Linked DNA regions of Callithrix jacchus. The protein of the gene in region 5 interacts with the protein of the main gene of each other region in a biochemical or structural test. Links are inferred from orthologs where the notes say so. Each region holds a gene or a part of one and is shown on either strand. Other genes may lie near its edges. The genes, in order: KLF13, IRF2, CTBP1, SATB1 and KAT2B.

Evidence for each region.
Region 1: of the proteins of KAT2B (region 5) and KLF13, one has a biochemical effect on the other in vitro, tested with the Homo sapiens proteins (2 studies listed by BioGRID, with this or other methods). The link is inferred for Callithrix jacchus from reciprocal best matches to the Homo sapiens genes KAT2B and KLF13.
Region 2: the proteins of KAT2B (region 5) and IRF2 form a complex in vitro, tested with the Homo sapiens proteins (2 studies listed by BioGRID, with this or other methods). The link is inferred for Callithrix jacchus from reciprocal best matches to the Homo sapiens genes KAT2B and IRF2.
Region 3: the proteins of KAT2B (region 5) and CTBP1 form a complex in vitro, tested with the Homo sapiens proteins (2 studies listed by BioGRID, with this or other methods). The link is inferred for Callithrix jacchus from reciprocal best matches to the Homo sapiens genes KAT2B and CTBP1.
Region 4: of the proteins of KAT2B (region 5) and SATB1, one has a biochemical effect on the other in vitro, tested with the Homo sapiens proteins (2 studies listed by BioGRID, with this or other methods). The link is inferred for Callithrix jacchus from reciprocal best matches to the Homo sapiens genes KAT2B and SATB1.

What each region holds. Positions count from the first base shown.
Region 1 is NC_133507.1:6,651,780-6,655,294, forward strand, and holds part of KLF13 (Krueppel-like factor 13), read right to left. Parts: intron 2,898-3,515; exon of another isoform or gene 730-2,897; coding exon 440-729; 3' UTR 1-439. UniProt on the Homo sapiens protein: Transcription factor that activates expression from GC-rich minimal promoter regions, including genes in the cells of the erythroid lineage. Represses transcription by binding to the BTE site, a GC-rich DNA element, in competition with the activator SP1.
Region 2 is NC_133504.1:6,985,611-6,989,125, reverse strand, and holds part of IRF2 (interferon regulatory factor 2), read right to left. Parts: intron 3,253-3,515; coding exon 3,088-3,252; intron 1-3,087. UniProt on the Homo sapiens protein: Specifically binds to the upstream regulatory region of type I IFN and IFN-inducible MHC class I genes (the interferon consensus sequence (ICS)) and represses those genes. Also acts as an activator for several genes including H4 and IL7.
Region 3 is NC_133504.1:191,935,092-191,938,606, reverse strand, and holds part of CTBP1 (C-terminal-binding protein 1), read right to left. Parts: intron 2,175-3,515; coding exon 2,020-2,174; intron 1-2,019. UniProt on the Homo sapiens protein: Corepressor targeting diverse transcription regulators such as GLIS2 or BCL6. Has dehydrogenase activity. Involved in controlling the equilibrium between tubular and stacked structures in the Golgi complex.
Region 4 is NC_133518.1:57,045,571-57,049,085, forward strand, and holds part of SATB1 (DNA-binding protein SATB1), read right to left. Parts: intron 3,455-3,515; coding exon 3,359-3,454; coding exon of another isoform or gene 3,263-3,358; exon of another isoform or gene 3,244-3,262; intron 1,726-3,243; coding exon of another isoform or gene 1,723-1,725; coding exon 1,207-1,722; 3' UTR 1-1,206. UniProt on the Homo sapiens protein: Crucial silencing factor contributing to the initiation of X inactivation mediated by Xist RNA that occurs during embryogenesis and in lymphoma.
Region 5 is NC_133518.1:58,551,615-58,555,834, reverse strand, and holds the start of KAT2B (histone acetyltransferase KAT2B), read right to left. Parts: upstream 2,815-4,220; 5' UTR 2,740-2,814; coding exon 2,437-2,739; intron 1-2,436. UniProt on the Homo sapiens protein: Functions as a histone acetyltransferase (HAT) to promote transcriptional activation. Has significant histone acetyltransferase activity with core histones (H3 and H4), and also with nucleosome core particles.

The DNA.
Region 1 (3,515 bases), on a different chromosome or scaffold from region 5:
GTGGCCACGTCTGCTCCCAACAGACCCACAGGCTGGCCGGCCAGCCAGCCAGACGCTGAGCTCCAGACTGGCTGGCCTGCTCTGTCCCCAGTGTGTCCCCGAACCTAACAGAAAACTCCAGAGTGCAAATCTATGTACAGAGTAAGGCGGCAGGAAGGGGTGTCCTCACTGACCTCGTGGAACGTGTCCATCCCTGAGAAAGGGGGTTCAACACCGCTGAATCTCAACTTTGTGGGTCTATCTATTGTGCAATTGGTGGGTGGTGTTTTTTTAAATTTTTGTGGGTTTTTTTTTTTTTAGACAAATTTACTTTGACACCTGAGGTGAAGAAAATTCTTTTTTCGTGGACTTCGCATCGAGTTCTCTCTCTTCTTATTACAAAAGGAAAGGCCAGGGACTCACGAGGGCGCGGGAGCGGCTGCTCATGGCTGTGGCGGGCTCAAGGCGAGCTGGCCGGGCTGATGGTGGGGCTGCTGGCGTCGGAGCGGCTGTAGTCGCTGAGGGAGCCGGTCCGCGAGCCCCCGCCGCGCCGCTGCAGCATGCCCGGGTGGAAGTTGGCGTGGCGGCGCGCGTGCTTGGTCAGGTGGTCGCTGCGCATGAAGCGCTTCTCGCAGATGGGGCAGCTGAACTTCTTCTCGCCCGTGTGCGTGCGGTAGTGCCGCGCCAGCTCGTCGGAACGTGCGAACTTCTTGTTGCAGTCCTGCCAGCTGCAGGCGAAGGGCCTCTCACCTGTGGGCACAGGGGCAGGGCGTCAGTATCTGGCCTGTCCCCGCGTGCACACCCTCTCTGGGAAAGGGTCCGCGACACCCCAGAGTCTCTTATCGCCCCTCCCACGTGCCCCACCTCCAAGAGCTTCTGTGACAAATCCCTCAGAGCAGAGATGAAGGTGGGCCCCTGCCCTCCTGCCCACGCCTGGGATGGAAGAAGAGGACACGGCCTAGGATAAAACAGCACTGCAGGTGCTGAACTGCAGGGCCCGTGGGTGGGAAGGAGCAGGGCCAAGGCTCCTGGCCGTGGACCCCCCAAGTACCCCACAAAGCAGGAAGCACCACACACCAGGCAGGGCCAGCGGTCCCCAATGCATGGGGATGACAGGCCCAGGCCCTGGCTTCACAGGCCTCCCGGAGTCCAGGCACTGTGATCACCCCTGCTGCTCACGGCAGCCACACCCTGGACCTCTGCAGGGCAGGAAGACAATTCTCCGGCTAGTCTGTAACATGAACGGGTCAGCCTCGGGGATCTCCAGGGCCTGGAATTCTACAACCAGTGTGCCGCTCCCTCTCTCATGCAAGTCCCAAAGTGGCCAACCAGGGTTGGCTGGCAGAGCAGGAGAACGAGACAGGTTCGCGCAGACCCAAGCATGGTGACAGACAGCAGCGCAGAGCACCCCATCAGGGACCTGTGCAGGTGGGGAGGTGGCGGAACACAGTGGGGGTGGGAGGTGACAAAGGTGCGCTACAGTCAGGATGCTGCTCCCTCCTTCCCATCCCTCACTCAGAGCAGGAGACAGGCCAGCATTTACCCTGGCAAACTCTCAACCACAAAAATGACATCAACTGCTCAGGAAGAACCAGGGTGGGGGGCTCTGGCACCCCAGAAAGCAGCCCTCCTGGCATTAGGGGTAGCCACAGGGCTGCCCTTCCTACCTGGCCTCATCCCTTCTCACCCCCCATATCCATAAGGCTGGATAAACTTCAGGACACAGTAAAGGCACATTATTACTCTTTGTTTAAAAGAAAAAAGAGAGGCAATTAGAAACTCCAGGAAAAATAGAAGACATACAAAAAAAGTGTGGTTCAGATTAGATATAAACTAAAATGCCACATGATTATGAGTCAGGAGCTCCAAGCCAAGCTCAGTCTAGGGGTTTTTCCTATGCTCTATTACTTCTCCTTCACAACAAGTCTACGAGGTAGCGGCAGGAAATGTAATCCCAGCACAGGCCCTGCCGATGGAAACTACACAGTGTGGTCATGCTAAGCTTAGCACTAGCTGTCAGTGTTTTGGAACCAATCCCATAAACAAAGGCCACACAACGGACCTATGGGCCCGGAAGAGAACATGGATTTAAGAGAAAAGTGGGAATGCACTCGGAGTAAAAAAGGACATGTCTAAGTGAAACACAGAGGTTTCAAATTACAAGGATACTTAACAAAATAAGTAAAATAATACATCCATCAATTGAGGAAGAGTTGGAGGGGAGGGACAGGAGGTAAATCCTTAAATTTCATGGCAGGAGGATAACAGAGAATACCTAAATTTGATATATCACGAAACAGCAATAGAATACAGTTCATTTATGGCCGTAAACATCAAGACAACTAAAATCAGAAAAGAAGGGCTGCTCTCTAGGGAGCGGGGCTGGACTGGTGAGGCCATGTGTTTTGTTGCAAGCTCTGTGTGTTATGGGTATGTATCTACCTACATATTCACCTACCTACCTACCTACCTATCTAATCTGAGGCAGTCTCGCTCTGTCACCCAGGCTGGAGTGCAATGGTGTGGTCTCGGCTCACTGTAACCTCTGCCTCCTGGGTTCAGGCAATTTTCTTGCCTCAGCCTCCTGAGTAAGCTGGGATTACAGGTGCCCATCTGTGCCTGGCTAATTTTTGTATTTTTAGTAGAGACAGAGTTTTACCATGTTGGCCAGGCTGGTCTTGAACTTCTGACCTCAAGTGATGCATCCTCCTCAGCCTCCCGAAGTGTTGGGATTACAAGCGTGAGCCACATGTCTGACTTGGGTCTTTTAAAAAAATACATATTTGTTTCTTCATAACAATAAAATGAAGTGTTTAATTCTTTATATAGCTAGTCCAGTATTTCCCAAAACATGTTCAAAGCAACGTTATCATTGTATAAAGCTTCATCAGTTCCAGAATAAAAAGTTTCATCAACCAGAGTGAAAACGTTGCATGGTAATTCCACTCTTGGAGATTCACAAGGCAGACTGTCATTCAAAGCCTGGGGAAGCCCAGCATTAAATACATCGTTCAGTGTTAGCCATGTCAGGTCTGACAGATGAGGTTCAGACCCTGTTTGCACTGAGTTGTGACAGTATGGCCCAAACAAACCCCTTGCTGCCTGCAGTAGGACAGATAATGGTCCCTAAAAAGATACAGCCAAGTCATAACCCCCAGAACCTGTGCATGTGACCTCATTTGGAGAAAGGTCTTTGCGGGTGTCATCAGGTAAGGATCTGGACAGGAGCTCCCAAGTGTGGAAGGTAGGGACGAGGGGAGGGAGCCAGTGAGAGGGGAAAGGGAGCAAGAGAGGAGGGGGAGAAAGTGGGCAGGGGAAGGAAGGGGAGGCAGGGAGCGGATTCTCCCTCAGAGCCTCTGGAAGAAACTAACCCAGCCAACACCTTGATTTCAGGCTCCTCGCTTCTGGAACTGCGAGAGAGTGAGTTTCAGTTGCTTTTCAGCCACCCAGTTTGTGGCAATGTGTGACAGCAGCCGCAGGAAGTAAGCACGCTGCCCCATCCTCCTGGGGGACACAGGCACGCCTCAAACCAGTGC
Region 2 (3,515 bases), on a different chromosome or scaffold from region 5:
ACACACTGCTTTACCCACGTCAGCCCTAGACACACACACACACATATTTTGACGACAGGATCTTGCTCTGTCACCCAGGCTGGAGTGCAATGGTGCAATCAGGGCTCACTGAAGCCTTGAACTCCTGGGCTCAAGTGTTGCTCCTGCCACAGCCTCCCAAGTAGCTGGGACTACAGGCACATGCCACCATGCCCAGCTAACGTTTTTTATTTTTTGTAGAAGTGGCGTCTCACTACGTCACCCAGGCTTGGTCTCCGATTCCTGGGCTCAAGCGATCCTCCTACCTTGGCCTTCCAGTGCTGGGATTATAGACGTGAACCACTGAGCCCGGCCAGATTTGTCACTTTTAAAATGGGGATAATGATGGTGCCCAGGCTGACAGGGTTACTCTAATTATAATTACACAAGTCAGCTGTATCATACCAGGTGTGGCAGCTCATGCCTGTAACCCCAGCACTTTGGGAGGCCAAGGTGAGCAGACTGTTTGAGCCCAGGAGTTCTAGACCAGCCTGGGCAACATGGCAGAACCCTGTTTCTATTAAAAATAACAACGAATAGTCAACTGCACCCAAGTACTGAGTAGGGTTCCAAGGGCACAATAAACTTGCAACGAATAGTAGTTCTTGTGACGGCATATTGGCAAGGCACATATGAGTTCAAAATGTGGGCCGGGCGCAGTGGCTCACACCTGTAATCCCAGCACTTTGGGAGGCCCAGGCAGGCAACTGCCTGAGGTCAGGAGTTCAAGACCAGCCAACATGGTGAAACCCTGTCTCTACTAAAAATACAAAAAAATTAGTCGTGCGTGGTGGCACCCGCCTGTAATCCCAGCCACTTGGGAGGCTGAGGCAGGGGAATTGCTTAAACCAGGGAGGTGGAGGTTGCAATGAGCGGAGATCGTGTCACTGCCCTCCAGCCTGGGTGACAAAGTGAGACTCCGTCTCAAAAAAAAAAAAAGTTCAAAATGCATTTGCTGAATAAATCACTGATGACAAGCTTATCCTGTCTGACAGATTAGAACCTTTCTGTAGCCAAGGTTTATTCTCACATTTCACTTACGTTGCTAGTGTAAATGTACACCAGGACCTATGCTAAGTGCAATAAGCCAGTCACAAAACAACAAGCACTATGATTCCACCCACACGAGGGACCTAGAATAGCCATATTCATTGAGATGGAAAATAGGTAAGAGGTTGCCAAGGGCTAGGGTAGAGGAGGGAAAAGGGGACTTAGTGTTTCATGGGGACAGAGTGTCAGTTTTGCAAGATGAAAAACGTGCTGAAGATGGATGCTGGTCACAGCTGTACAACATTCATGCACTTAATGCTACTAAACTGTGCACTTAAAAATGGCTAAAATAGTGATTTTTATGTTAATGTATTTTACCAAAATTTTTAAAAGTTGGTGTTCAGGGAAAATGAGATTAGATTTAGCAGCTGATAATTCACAAGCAACCGGTCCTTTGAGTCAACTCTAATTCCAACGCTGGTCTGAGCCAGTCTTGCGGGTGGCACCTGCTGGAGGACACCCATTTGGCAGCGCGTAAAGAGCTCTGGGAAGAATCCCCGAGCTGTTGACTAGAGCTGAACTGGAGTTTCCTATCATGGGGTCTCTGCTTTTTATTTTTAATATCTGCAAGCAATAACACCGACTCAGAATTTATATTTCCTAATTACGATTGATTTTTACAAAATTTATTGGAGATCGTCAGGAAGAGAGGAGAAGATGAGGAAGTGACGCCAGTGAACAAGAGGGGCCCTGCTTTTACTCTGTAAGAATGGAAGAACCCACTGGATCTGTTTCTCCTCCTATGACTGGCCAGGCCGACTCCTGTCATTATGTGGCCAAGTCCCTGGGGAACTGGAAATGGGCTCAGTCATCTTGCCTGATTAGAACCTGTACTAGATAGAAAAAGAAAGAGAAAATACGTGGAAGAGACAAGTCAGCTTGGTGGAATGGAATGGGTCCAGCAGTGAGCTCGGGGTCTGAAGGTTGAGGTCAAGTCCTGGCCCAGACGCTTCTGACTGCACGACCTCCAATTCAGCAAGCCCCTTCCCGTCCAGAGAAATGAAGGAACCGGAAGAGATCATCTCTAAGGTCCTATCCAGCCTGCTCAAATTGAGAATCCATTAAAACACTGTGCCAAGTTTCTGACTACTTGGGCAAATAAATTAGACTCTGATGAACCGCTGCTCCAGAGAAATCTCGTCTGTTAACCATACATAAAAGTGTTATGGGAGGCGGGCACCATGGTTCACGTCTGAAATCCCAGCACTTTGGGAGACCAAGGTGGCTGGATCACCAGAGGTCAGGAGTTTGAGACGGGCCTGGCCAACATGGCCAGGGTTCAGTAGAACCCGGTCTCTACTGAAAATACAAAACCTAGCTGGCATGGTAGTGCGCCCCTGTAACCCCAGCTACTTAGAAGGCTGAGGCAAGAGAATCACTCGAACCCAGAAGACAGAGGTTGCTGTGGGCTGAGATCATCCCACTGCACTCCAGCCTGGGCAAGAGAGCAAGACTCTGTATCAAGAAAAAAAACAACAACATAATGGGTGACTTAGTGAAGAAATGTTGTGATCCTGATCCTGTCCTGTAACTGCAAACGAAAGTGTCCACGAAGATGTTGATTACCAAGAAATTAAAGTATGAAACATTCCAGGAAGAACAACTGCGAGGACAGAGGAATCCTACGCTCCAAGGGGTGGTGAGAGGGGAGACCCCAGACCAGAGGACCGCGCGGCTGGTTCCCAGGCGTCCTGGAGCCCCGAGCTAGACCAGAGGACCCCGCGGCCAGTTCCCAGGCATCCTGGAGCCCCGAGCTAGACCAGAGGACCCCGCGGCAGGTTCCCAGGCATCCTGGAGCCCCGCCCGTGCGGCCTGTTCCCAGGGGTCCTGGAGCCCCGCCCTGCCGCTAGACCAGAGGACCGCGCGGCCGGTTCCCAGGCGTCCTGGAGTCCCCTCCTGCCGCTAGACCAGAGGACCGCGCGGCTGGTTCCCAGGCGTCCTGGAGCCCCCTCCTGCCGCTAGACCAGAGGACCCCGCGGCCTGTTCCCAGGCGTCCTGGAGCCCCCTCCTGCCGCTTACCCGCGTAGGAAGACACGGGTGAGATCTGCAGAGGGTACAGCTCGCTCATGCTGGCCGGCTGCTCGTCGCTCTCAGTGGTCACCTCTACAACTTGGCAAATGTCCGGCGGGTTGGTGACAATCTCTTGATCCTCGATGTTGCCGTCCAGATGGGATTGTCCTACGACTTCAGAGAAGAAAAGAGTCATCATGCCAAGTCTCCTGACCTAACAATTCTAGCACACTTTCTCATAAGTGTGCTATGAGAAAGGAAAGAAGGCCTTTCCCAACAGAGGCAGATCGCCAGGCTCCCTTCCCCACCTGTCCCCTGCCATGGGGCTGAAGAACAAGCCTGAGTTCTGTAGCTCTGGGGTGATGTCTCCAGGCCAACACCTGGCTCCCCAGGTCTGTCTCCAACATGTCTGCCAATGGCACACACAGGTGGCCATG
Region 3 (3,515 bases), on a different chromosome or scaffold from region 5:
TTTATACGAACCTGTCTAGGCAGCCTGGGATTACTGCAATTTCAGAAAACCTCTGTTTTGCCTTAGTTTTCCAATCTGTTGGCAGACCCTGCTTTAGTGTGACTTACAACTTTCCAAGTTGACCATGTGCCTCTTTTCCATTCCATACGTGTGTGTCTTTAACACACACCCAGCCTCCCAGTGAGAAAACCGTACTAGCCAGGGCACTGTCAAAACCAAGTGGGTGCCACATGACTCCAGGTGTACACCGTGGCCGGGCATGCATGTGGACACGCCCGTGTGATGTGCTCATGTGCAGATTCCGGCACACTGGCCCACTGGCAGCTCCCCCGCCCGCACCCCAGCAATGGTTTCCGTCACGCTGATGCCTCTGCCTGAACATGAAGAGATCAGGCAGCATGCAGCCCTTGAAACCAGCTCTTCACTCGCCATCACGCTACCGAGATCCCCCCGCCTGTTGCTGAGGATGCCAAGGGAGGTGGCCAGCGTTTGCCTGGCCACTGACCTGCCAAAGGGCAGCCGGGGCGTGTCCTGGTTTGGGGCATGTCCTGGTTTGGGCCGTGATGATTACAGTTGCCAGGGAGCATGACGCGCGGTTCTGCCCGCGGACGTGCGTTCCAAGCCTCTGCGACTAAGGAGTGTGGCCACTGGGCTGCATTACAGGCGCACATCTAACTGCATGAGAAACCAGGAAGCGTTTTGCAGAGCGACCGCCGGCCGCAGCAGACGCGCGCCCATCTTTAGCACCATGTTTCCTTTGGAAATGCTTCTGCTGTCATCCCTTCCAGCCCCTCCCCTCTATTGTTCCAAAGTGTCTGTGAGGGTGGCTCCTCATCTCACCCTCCTGGCTGCTAAACCTGCCCCTCTGTTCTCCCATTCGGCTTCGGCGTGTCTCAGATCCACACCTCACCTCCTCTGAGGCACCATGCCCCGTTTTAGGGGCAGCAGCTCCTCGTCGGTGTCTGGCCCGGCCTCCTCCTGAGGGCTGTGCTGGGGTCACCATGCCGTGGTCAGCTCGGGGAGCTCTGGTGGACCCGCACTGCCTTTTCTGGCTTTTGGGCTTTATGCCTCATCTGCCATCTCCTGACTGCCTGGTTATCTCTACTGCATTTGACGGACCCTGGGCCAGACGATGATCTGTAGAAATGAACCGAGGCCCAGGCTGATGCTACGTTCCTCTGAAGGGGCTGTCCCATTTCTTCCTGCCAGGCACCTGGGGCCAGGCAGTGTGGGATCCCCTGAAATCCAGGCTCAAGTCTCCCCCGATGTTGGCAGGCTGGATGCCCACTGTACGGCATGTCAGAGTCCAGGGCACCCTCACTCCAGGTGTCACCTTACAGGCCATGGCTGTCCCAGCAGGCCCCACACCCTGCAGACCATGGCTGCTGCCAATGCCAAATGCAACCCCTCAGCCACTTCTTCGAGAACAGCCAACACCCCAGGCCAGAACGGGCAGGGCCCACCCGTTCCTACAGATTCTGGGCTTGTCTGGATTGTAGCCTGGGCAGCTGTAGCTCTGTCCTGTTAGCTCCTGAGGACCCAGCTTCTTCGTCTGTCTTCAGGGAAAAGCTGCTCTGAATCACTAACCTCTGGCTACAAGCAGAGCCAGACCGACCTGTTTCTCATCACGGAGGAGCCTGTGGATCTCCTGAGCAAACACGACTCAGGAAAGCTGCCCGAAGGCTGCCCACTGCTGGACCACAGCCAAGTCGTGGGCAATGCCAAGACCACCCATGCGCATGCAAAGACCGCTGTGCGCCCGGAGCCAGGGGAAGCAATTCACTCTGGCCCTGCAACAAAAGCAGCGTCCTGAGGACCTGCTCTCTGGGAGAAAACTGGAAATGAATCCAGAAGCTACAGGCGAAACCCCATGTCCATCTCCTAATGGGGCAGGGTGAAAGGGACAGAGGCTGCACCTGTCCCAGTGGCATCCAGACCTGCTGCGGCCCATGCTCCCATCCCTCCCAACTCCCCTCCGGCATGTGGCTCTGGCAGCCCCAGGACAGTACGTGGTGGTACCTTCTCATGGATCTCCTGCGTGGACTGTGCGTCGCAGAAGGCCACGGTGGCCACGTCCTTCAGGATAGGCATCTCCACCGTGCAGTCCCGGCCATCCAGCAGTGCCACCAGGGGCCGCGGGTGCAGGGGCCCGTTCATGATTGGAGGTCGGACGCCTGCAAGACAGAAGCAAGTGCTCAGCCTTGCACCACCGCAGCCCGTAGCCACAACCTGCTCCACACTGCCCACTGTGCACCGGCCGATGAGGGCTTTCCATTCTACATGTTGTGATATTTGTAAAAAGTGAATTAAAAATCCATAGGAAAGACAGATTTGTGTGCCTCAGCTCGCTGACACGAGTGGACACAGACTACAGACACCCACCACCATTGCCCTCAGGCACAGGGGCTCCCAGACCCCCTGAGACCCTCCCAGACCTGTCTGAGATTCCCCAAGACTCCCCCATACCCTCCGAGATCCCGAGACCCCAGGGCAGCTCCATGAGGCGGAGGGACAGGAGGGACCCGTGACACTGGAGGGCACAGATCGCAGCACAGGGCTTTAGGAACATGGCTGCCCTTTTCCGCCTGGGCTACCGTGTGGCTGCTGGAATCCCCGATGGGTCACCAATATTTCACACAGAACGCCCCACCCTCTGCCTGGCATCACTTCCATTTGTAAATTTGAAGGGACAAGAAACAGAGCTATAGAGGAAAGTCCACTGTTAAAGTCCACTGTGCCCCTACCTTCCCAGAATGAGCTGATTAAAAACCACTAACACCCATTATTCCTTTCACGTATGACACAGCTAAGCTTCGTTCGGGGCCACATGGAGAAAGAGGGGCTCTGAGGTGTCACAGAAGCACAGCAGCTTCCAGGCACCACCCGGCCACCCTGTGCCAGGCAGGGAGCACCGGGTGCTGGGAAAAGGCAGAGCTGGAGCCAGGGTCTGGCCGGTCCACCCCCCAGACTGGCCCCAGGAGACCAAGGAGCCCCCAGGACCATTTGGCCAGCAGGAGGGGAGACACAGGACAGAACCAAGAAACGGAGTGACCCAGTAAAGTCCTCAGTGGCTGCAGCCACATGCACGCTCAGCCGTCTCCCACCCCATCTACCAGCAGGTAAGCAGAGGCCACCAAGCCGCCAGGGCCCAGAATGCACTGCAAACACGGCTCTTGGAGCCCACGGCAGAGAAAAGAGACACCCTGGTGGACAGCCCAAGGGTGCAATGGGCCTGCAGCAGGTGCCTGCAGGGGACAGGGCACAGGTCTCCACTGACCACCCCAAAGCCGAGGGCTCCCGGTACGGCTGGGCCCAGGCTCCTCCTTCTAAGTCCTCACGCCCCAGTGACCTCAGAGGAGCCACTGGCCATTCCACCCACTTGCCTTCAAGACAGGAAAGGTGCCAGGACCTGCCCAGACCCCAAACACGGGGTGTGCACGATCAAAACCACATCCTGGTTTGCCTGTTCCCTCATTCCATCTGGACAGGAGCTGCCCATGACCCCCCTCCTGCAG
Region 4 (3,515 bases), about 1.5 Mb from region 5:
GTTACAGTCAATAACCACTCCTAGGCAGAACATTTCTGCATAAAGAAAATTGTGATACACTTATAAAAACAGCCAGCTGTAACAAAATAGCTGGTGTTTTCATAGCCATAAACTCATAAAAAAGAAATACACCTTTATACAGAAATTTTATACAGATGTAGCTTTAAAATTGATTGTAAACCAAAGGAAGACACATTGCAAACATCAATTATTTTCACATTAATTGCATAATTTTCTAAGGTGATCTATTAGTTTTATTTACCTAAGCTTATTTGCATGATAGTAAAAATTGCATACAACAATAAGAGTGAAGCTTATAGTATGAATTGCTTGGATAACATAGAGCACTTTTTATAGGCAACTGTGTAAAGCACATTTTCTCTATTTAAAACTTTTAAGACACTTTGTTTTACTGCCCATCAAAATACATTTATAAATAGAAAAGAATCAGTATGGTAACAAGAGAAGCAATATTACATTTAACGGAAACTTCCAAAAAATTAATTACAACATGATGCTGCAGGATCTACAAATAAATAATGAGGACTAAATTGTGTTTCACATTTTCTTTTCCTTTTTTTAAAAAAATCATGTAACAATGAGAATGAAAAAAAATTACAGTGAACTTTTATTTCCAAAATAAAAACAAATTTGAATTACGGCAGTGCCATATAATACAAGGCATTTGTTGGCATATGTCATCTTTAAACTGCATTCCACAGTCTATAGTTCTTTTGTAACATACAATAGAGTAACAAACTCTTTTTTTTTCTTTTTTTTTTTTAAATAAGGGGCGAGTTTCCAAAGATCAGTGTGGAGTGCTACAGAAATAATTATAGGAGAGAAAATCATAATCACAGAAGTTATAATGCTTGTTTGAGGCTCCAGAATAATAACTAAAAAAAAAAAAAAAATCACTGTTTCCATGCTTACGGGGTACACACTTTGGTGCATCCCGTGAACACAAATTTTAATACCAAACAATCCTTGATGCTTCACCTGGGGCTGCCAAGCAGTTTGTAAAACAGAGTAAAACATTTAGTGCAGTCTGTATTATCCTTTTCCAACTTTTCTGTTTGTGCAAGTTTTTGAAGATTCATTGGCCAAACAATGAACAACAAAGGTTTTCTGAGAGAGTACAAGGTGAACTTTTCAATTTATTAGTAGATACCAGTGGAATTGTTGAACGAAACGAATACTTTTATCTCAGTCTTTTAAATCAGCATTAATGTCTGTGTTTCCTTCCACTGACAGCTCTTCTTCTAGTTTTACTGAAAAAAGGGTGTTAGTATTTTTATCTTGGACACTCTCTTCCAAATCCTTCAGCAGCTCCTCTTCTTTATATTCTGCCACATCGACCTCTAAACCGGAATTGTCCTTCAGTTTGCCATGGTGCTTGAGATAGTACCGCTGGTTCTGAAAGAACTTGATGATGGTGTACTTGGGAAGGTCAAGCTGAGCGGACAGAGTCTGGATGGCCTCTTCGTCAGGGTACAGGCCTACGTCTTGTATGAAACTCTGGAGGATTCCCAGGGCTTCCACTGAAATTTTTGTTCGTGGCCGGGTCTTCTGCCGGTTCTCCTCATCTGACTCTGCTGGAGAGGCCACCGTGGGTTGCCGTGGGGGGAGCCGAGGGCCTGCCTGTGGCTGCTGTTGTGGCTGTGGAGGCTGCGGCGCCTGCTGCTGCTGTTGCTGCTGCTGCTGCTGCTGCTGCTGTTGTTGCTGCTGCAGAGAAACAAGGAAACAATCAGAGCTCTGCTATCGTGGAGATCCACACAAAGCCGCCTCGAATCAGGAAACGTGGTCACAATCCCACATACAGCTTCTTTGATAGGGACGAAGACTTAGAACAAAAAGGAAGGCCAGCTAAATGGCCCACAGCATTTAGAAAACAATCAAAAATGATATGAACTAGGAATGGATGAATTAATATGGCTATGCTCCCCAAATGAATAACATGGGGGGCTACTGCACTTACTTATCAGAAATCAGTGGAGGAAGTGAAAACTCAGTGCTCTGAAAATGGGAGCCATAAACTTCACTAGAAGGATACGCATCAAAGGCGAAGATGGCACATCAAATTATGATGTAAATAATTAACAAAGATTTAAAATGAAGATGGAGAGGCTAGGATTTCAAAGACATTTTAGAAAGGTGAGCTACGGAGCAGTGGGGAAAGAAATTTGTGTTCTGCTCCGTTTCACTGAATGGCCAGGAAGAACAGAAGATGAGCGTATGCTCTTATTCCATGTTATCTGTCATGAAAGCAAAGAATTTTTAAGATTCTCACATTTGCGCTTTTTCTATCAGACAGTTCCAATTTAATACACACTCAATTTCTTACCAAATTGCGCTGGGCTGACACTGCAAGTTTTTTTCTTACCTCAAAATAAAGGTTCAATCCCCCATACGACGGCTAGCGAATTGTTTTGTCTATAGTAAACTCAGATGTGATTAGGATTTAAATTTCGTGTATACAGACACTTTTTCATAATTACTATATGTGCTATAATTTCCATACACAATTATACATAAATATGTGACACATGCACATACTGTATTCTCGATATCCGTAATTCTTACGAGCAAAGCAAATCAACCTGAGTAAGTGGTACAATATTAGAATGCTATCATCTCTATGCATTTCCTTTTATACCTCTAAGAAGGAATTTTATTAAAAACAATTTACATTTTCAAATGAGTACTTTTTAAAATTACTTAACATACATTTTTCGCTTTTTTGTTTCTGCTAAACAGTAAGTTTTTCAGGCTTTCATGGTTATTTTAGTGCTTGAAATCCTAAAGGGAACCTCTCTGTCAACTTGTTTTAATACACACTTGAGAATTTTTTTATCCTGGTAAACAACTCTATTATTGTTTTTAGCTATACATATATATATGTCTGTACACACACACACACACACACACACACACATATATATATTTTTTTACAGAAATATAAAAAATAATGCAGGTGATTCAACAAAGGTAGAATTTTAGGACTCTGGAAGGCAATGGCATTTTACTTTAAAAGAGAAAGCTAAAATCATCCCCTTTAACAAATATAAGCTCTATAGCTCAAGTTCAATGACAACACGCTTCCTAAGCAATTGGGGACCTAAGAGCACTAATGACTACCTGATCCCAGAACTCTTCCATCTAAATTCACAGGAGAGTTCCTTTACAAGATGAATGGTGACAAGGCCCATAACATGACAAAGCACAAGGCTGCATCTGCTCGAACAGTGGGCTCTGGCCATGGCTATGCTATATATCCTTTGAAAATCCTGGGGGAGCAGGTCTTCATTTCACCCCCTCTCTGTGTCCCTTGCTGGCAGAGGTAACTGTGCCCGCTCACCTGAGGAGCAGCACCGAACCATGGTGCAGGGGTCGGCAGGCCTGGTAAGAAAACGCCTCTAGACTCTCCTTTCCCAAGGGTGGTGGGAGAGGGGCTCTAAAGGAAAGACAAACAGATATGACTCACCCCTAACCTACATTCTGTGAAGTGTGGGGAG
Region 5 (4,220 bases):
AAAATAAAAGAAATTTTCTCTTACTATAAGTTGGGTCATAAAAGTGACCAGAAAACACTCAAATCTCAAACTTTGGAAGTGGTGCTACATCTCACCCATGGAAATTTGAAAAGATCACAGGTATCAATGCAGGGCACATATGCTCATGGTTTTAGATAAAACCAAAATTTCAGGAAAGTTTTCAGATATTAAAGGTACAGCAGGCAGCAGGAAATCTTTAACAGGTGCTAGTGAGGAGAACCCAATAAATAAAATTAAAAATAAAGCCAGGACAGGCCGGGCACAGTGGCTCACGTCTATAATCCCAGCACTTTGGGAGGCCAAGGCGGGCAGGTCACCTGAGGTCAGGAGTTTGAGACCACCCTGACCAACATGGAGAAACTCCATCTCTATTAAAATACAAAAAATTAGCCAGGCATGGTGGCGCATGCCTGTAATCCCAAGCTGCTTGGGAGGCTGAGGCAGGAGAAACGCTTGAACCTGGGAGGCAGAGGTTGCAGTGAGCCAAGTTCACGCCACTGAAGTCCAGCCCGGGCAATAAGGGCGAATCTCCATTTCAAAAATAATTAAATAAAGCCAGTACAGAAACACTGAGTTGACACAGTTCCTACACGAGCCCACTTCGGCTGCAAAACACCAAGGCCACCAAGAAATTGACCTTCTTCTGTGTTTTCATAGGTTTTGGGGAAGAGGTGGTTGTTTAGTTACATGAGTAAGTTCTTTAGTGGTGATCTGTTAGATTTTGGTGTACCTATCACCCAAGCAGTACGCCCTATACCCATGACCTTGTTCTTAATTCTATACACAGCTCTCCCTTCTGCCTGCCACAGTCAGTGTCCTGTTCTCATCAGTCTAACGCCCTTCATCATCAACTCCTGGGCTTGTGCCTTTCTTAGAAGCACACTCCCAACTTCATCTTCTTTGCATTCCTTCTTCAGAAATAACCACATGGCATTATTATTTGTTTCTGTCTTTTCTACTGAATTCAAAGAGCCAAATAATATACTGCCCAGTTCTGAACTGGAACGTGGTCTGTGGACTAGCGTAGTATCACTTAGGAGTTGGTCAGAAATGCAGACCCTCAGCTTCCACCTCAGACCAGCTGGTTCAGAATCAGCATTTTAACCAGTTTCCCCAGGAGATTCCTATCCACATTAACGTTTGAGGAGCAGTGGGCTAGATCCTACATTCACTCAACAAATATTTATTGAACCAGTATAGGACACAGAGGTGCTCAATATAAACATGAGGATATGGTGTGGAAAAAGAGCAAGCACAGACATTCCATTGCGACTGAGAAGCTCCTGTAAGTACTAAAAAGAGTCTAACCGAGATGTTCTAGTAGGATAAATTATAGTTATGTCACAATTCAGAAGTGGCCCCTGCAGCTTGGTTGTGGGAATCAGGAATCTGGAACCGGGCAACCTGACCCTGCTTGCAGCAGGCAGGAAGAACACATGGGAGGTGTGTGTGTGTGTGAGTGTGTCTCTTCCCTGCCTCAGCCACAGGCCGCAGGAGCTGACAAGGCCAAGTCCCCGCCCCCCTCAGCTGTCACCCTGTCAAAACAAAGCCGCTGCTGACAGCGCAGGGCCAGCCTGCCCCGCGGCCTCGGGCATTGCTCCCACCTCGGGAGCACAGCCTCCACATCTGGATCTGCAGCTGGGGGTGACGGGGTTCCTAAACTGGCATGGAGAGTGGATAGCAAGAAATAGGTGTCCTCACACTGGGCAGTAGTGCCCGCTGTGCTGGGCTGTCACCTTGCCAAATCCTGTTTACACCTCGAGCAGCTGGGACAGCGTTTTAACTAAACAAGTAATAATACAATAATGACAGGGCTGTCACTGCGCCCGGCAGTGCCTCCGCCCCCAGCCGAGGGCGCCAGGCTCCAAGAGACCCTCGCCTCGAGCTCTGCCCACCTTCCCGCCCCGCGCCTTCCTCCCCTTCGCTTTCCCAAAGCGCCAAGAGTCCGCGAGTCTTCACCCCCACTCCTTGTACCCAGTTCCTCCCAATGGGACAAGGGAGGAGATCGACTGCAGAAGGGACCACTCAGTGCGCCAAAAGATTTTTCTTTGCCCCGGGGTCTCCCGCCACATGGAGAGCACCGTTCCACTCCCGGCAAAGTGACTCCAGCGAGCTCCTACAGAGCAACAAAACCCCAGGGTAGCCCGGGAGCTCGGAAGCCGAAGCCACTCTTTTCAAGCTGAAGGAACGAAGGGCTCTCGGTCTTAGCGATCCCCCTTCTTCAAACCCAGCAGGACTCTTATCCAAGAAGAAGCTAATTGGGCGCGGGCGACAAGAGCACTTCCGCGGTGCAGCGGCCCCAGGCGGGAGGCGAGAGGCAGGAGGCGGGAGGCGGGGGTGAAGGAGGGAGGGGGAGGGGGTCCCGCGGGCTGGGCCCCTAGCACCATCCGCGGTCCGAGAGCAGCCCGCGCGTACCTTGCAGGCGGAGTACACTCCGAGTTTCTCCAGTTTCTTGGCCCGTGGAGCGGAGCGTAGTTGCGCCTTCTTCACGGCGATTCGGGCCGAGCCACCGCCTCCCGGTCCTTCGGCCGTGCCCGCTGCAGCCACTGCCGTAGCCGGACCGCAGGCGCCCGAGCCCCCGGCGGCAGCAGCGCAGGGGGAGCCCTGCGGGGGCGCGGGCGGCAGCGCCGCAGGCGGGGGGGGCAGCGCCCCGGGCCCGGCCCCTGCCCCGGCTCCTGCCCCGCAGCCGCCCGGCCCGGCCCCGCCAGCCTCGGACATGCCGCCCCGGAGCACGGCAGGAGGCGCCGAGTGTCAGGCGCCGCCGCCGCCGCCAGGGTCTCCCTCTCGGGCTCTGGTCGTCGGGAGAGCGAGACCCTCCCCCCACGCCCTCCCGCCCCCTTCGCCCACCCCCCTCCCCGCCCCCGCCCTCCCCCGCGCGCGCCGCTTGCCCGGCTCGCTCCGGCCGGGGCCCGCGCGCTGATGGTGGTGGCGGCTGTGGCGGCGGCGACGGCAGCGGCGGCAGCTGCTCCCCCAGGAGGGAGGGGACTAGCGGCTCCGCTGCCGCCACCGCCGCCACAGCACACGCCCTCCCTCGGTTCTCCTGCCCGGGACTCTGCTCGGCGCCCTGGCCGCGGACATGTTCCTCGGGGCTGCGGACTGGGTGTGCGTGCCGGCGGCCGCCAGCCTCCTAGTGTGCCGGAGCCGGGAGGCCCCCCACGGCCTCTTTTCCGCTGCCCGCGGGGTTTGCACCCCCCACCCGGGTGCCTCGACACCTACGGCTCGCCCGCCAGGGGGCGAGGCCAATCCCTGGGTGTGGGTGAGGGTGGGGACGAGGGTGGGGGTAGGGGCCTGGAGCCCAGGCACCTGCTGGCCACCTCCCCCCTCCGCAGCCCCCCATCCGACCCCGCACGCCCGCGCCAGTGTGAGGGGGCAGCCTCTCAGTCATTTGTCCTTCCACTCTCTTCCACCCTGTCTCTGAGCGGAGAGACAACTTCCTCCACCCTAGCGGGAGCCAGAGGAAAAAAAAAATACATTTTTGAAAAGTACCCGTCCATGCTAATCCTTTTCTTTGTTGCTAATTCATCAAAATAAAGGCGTGATGTTCTCCCTTTCTCTTTTTAAACACTTTCTGTCAAACTGTGTTTTAACATAATTAACACTTTCTTCCCATAGCAATTTCTGGGCCAAATCTGCCAGAGGGGGGGGAAAAACTTAATATTCTCTGTAATTTTTGTTTGAAAGTGCTGGTTGCTCAAAGAACGATTGCCTAAAATCATTGTCAAAATAAAAACTATGTGCAGTGGAAAAAGTTTAAATACAAAAAGTTTGTTAACAGGATTCGTCTCTGGGTGGTGGTTCTATAACGTTTCGTAGTTTTCAAAATTGTACCATCAGCGTGCATATTAACCAGGAAAAAAAAATTAAGCATCATTCAAAAGAATAAATATTGATTTTGGCTTCAAACTTTCAAAAGAAAAAAAAAAGACAACCTCAACTCAGTGTTTTCAACTCTTGTTGAAAACTATTGTTTTCACTGTTGATGACTGGAGCATAGATGTCAGTGCTGCGTTTGAAATGGTGTACCGTTGGTCGCCTTCCTAAAGCAGGTTTTAAAAGCCCAGGCTGTTTCCCAGGACCCTTCAGAAGTGCCCTACTTTTTGTTGTATGTAATGTGGGTCATAATGTGCTTATTATCAGACTCTACCCATGCTGTATAGCTCCCCAGCCAGACGCCTTAAGGGTTGTGTTTTTCCTTCAAA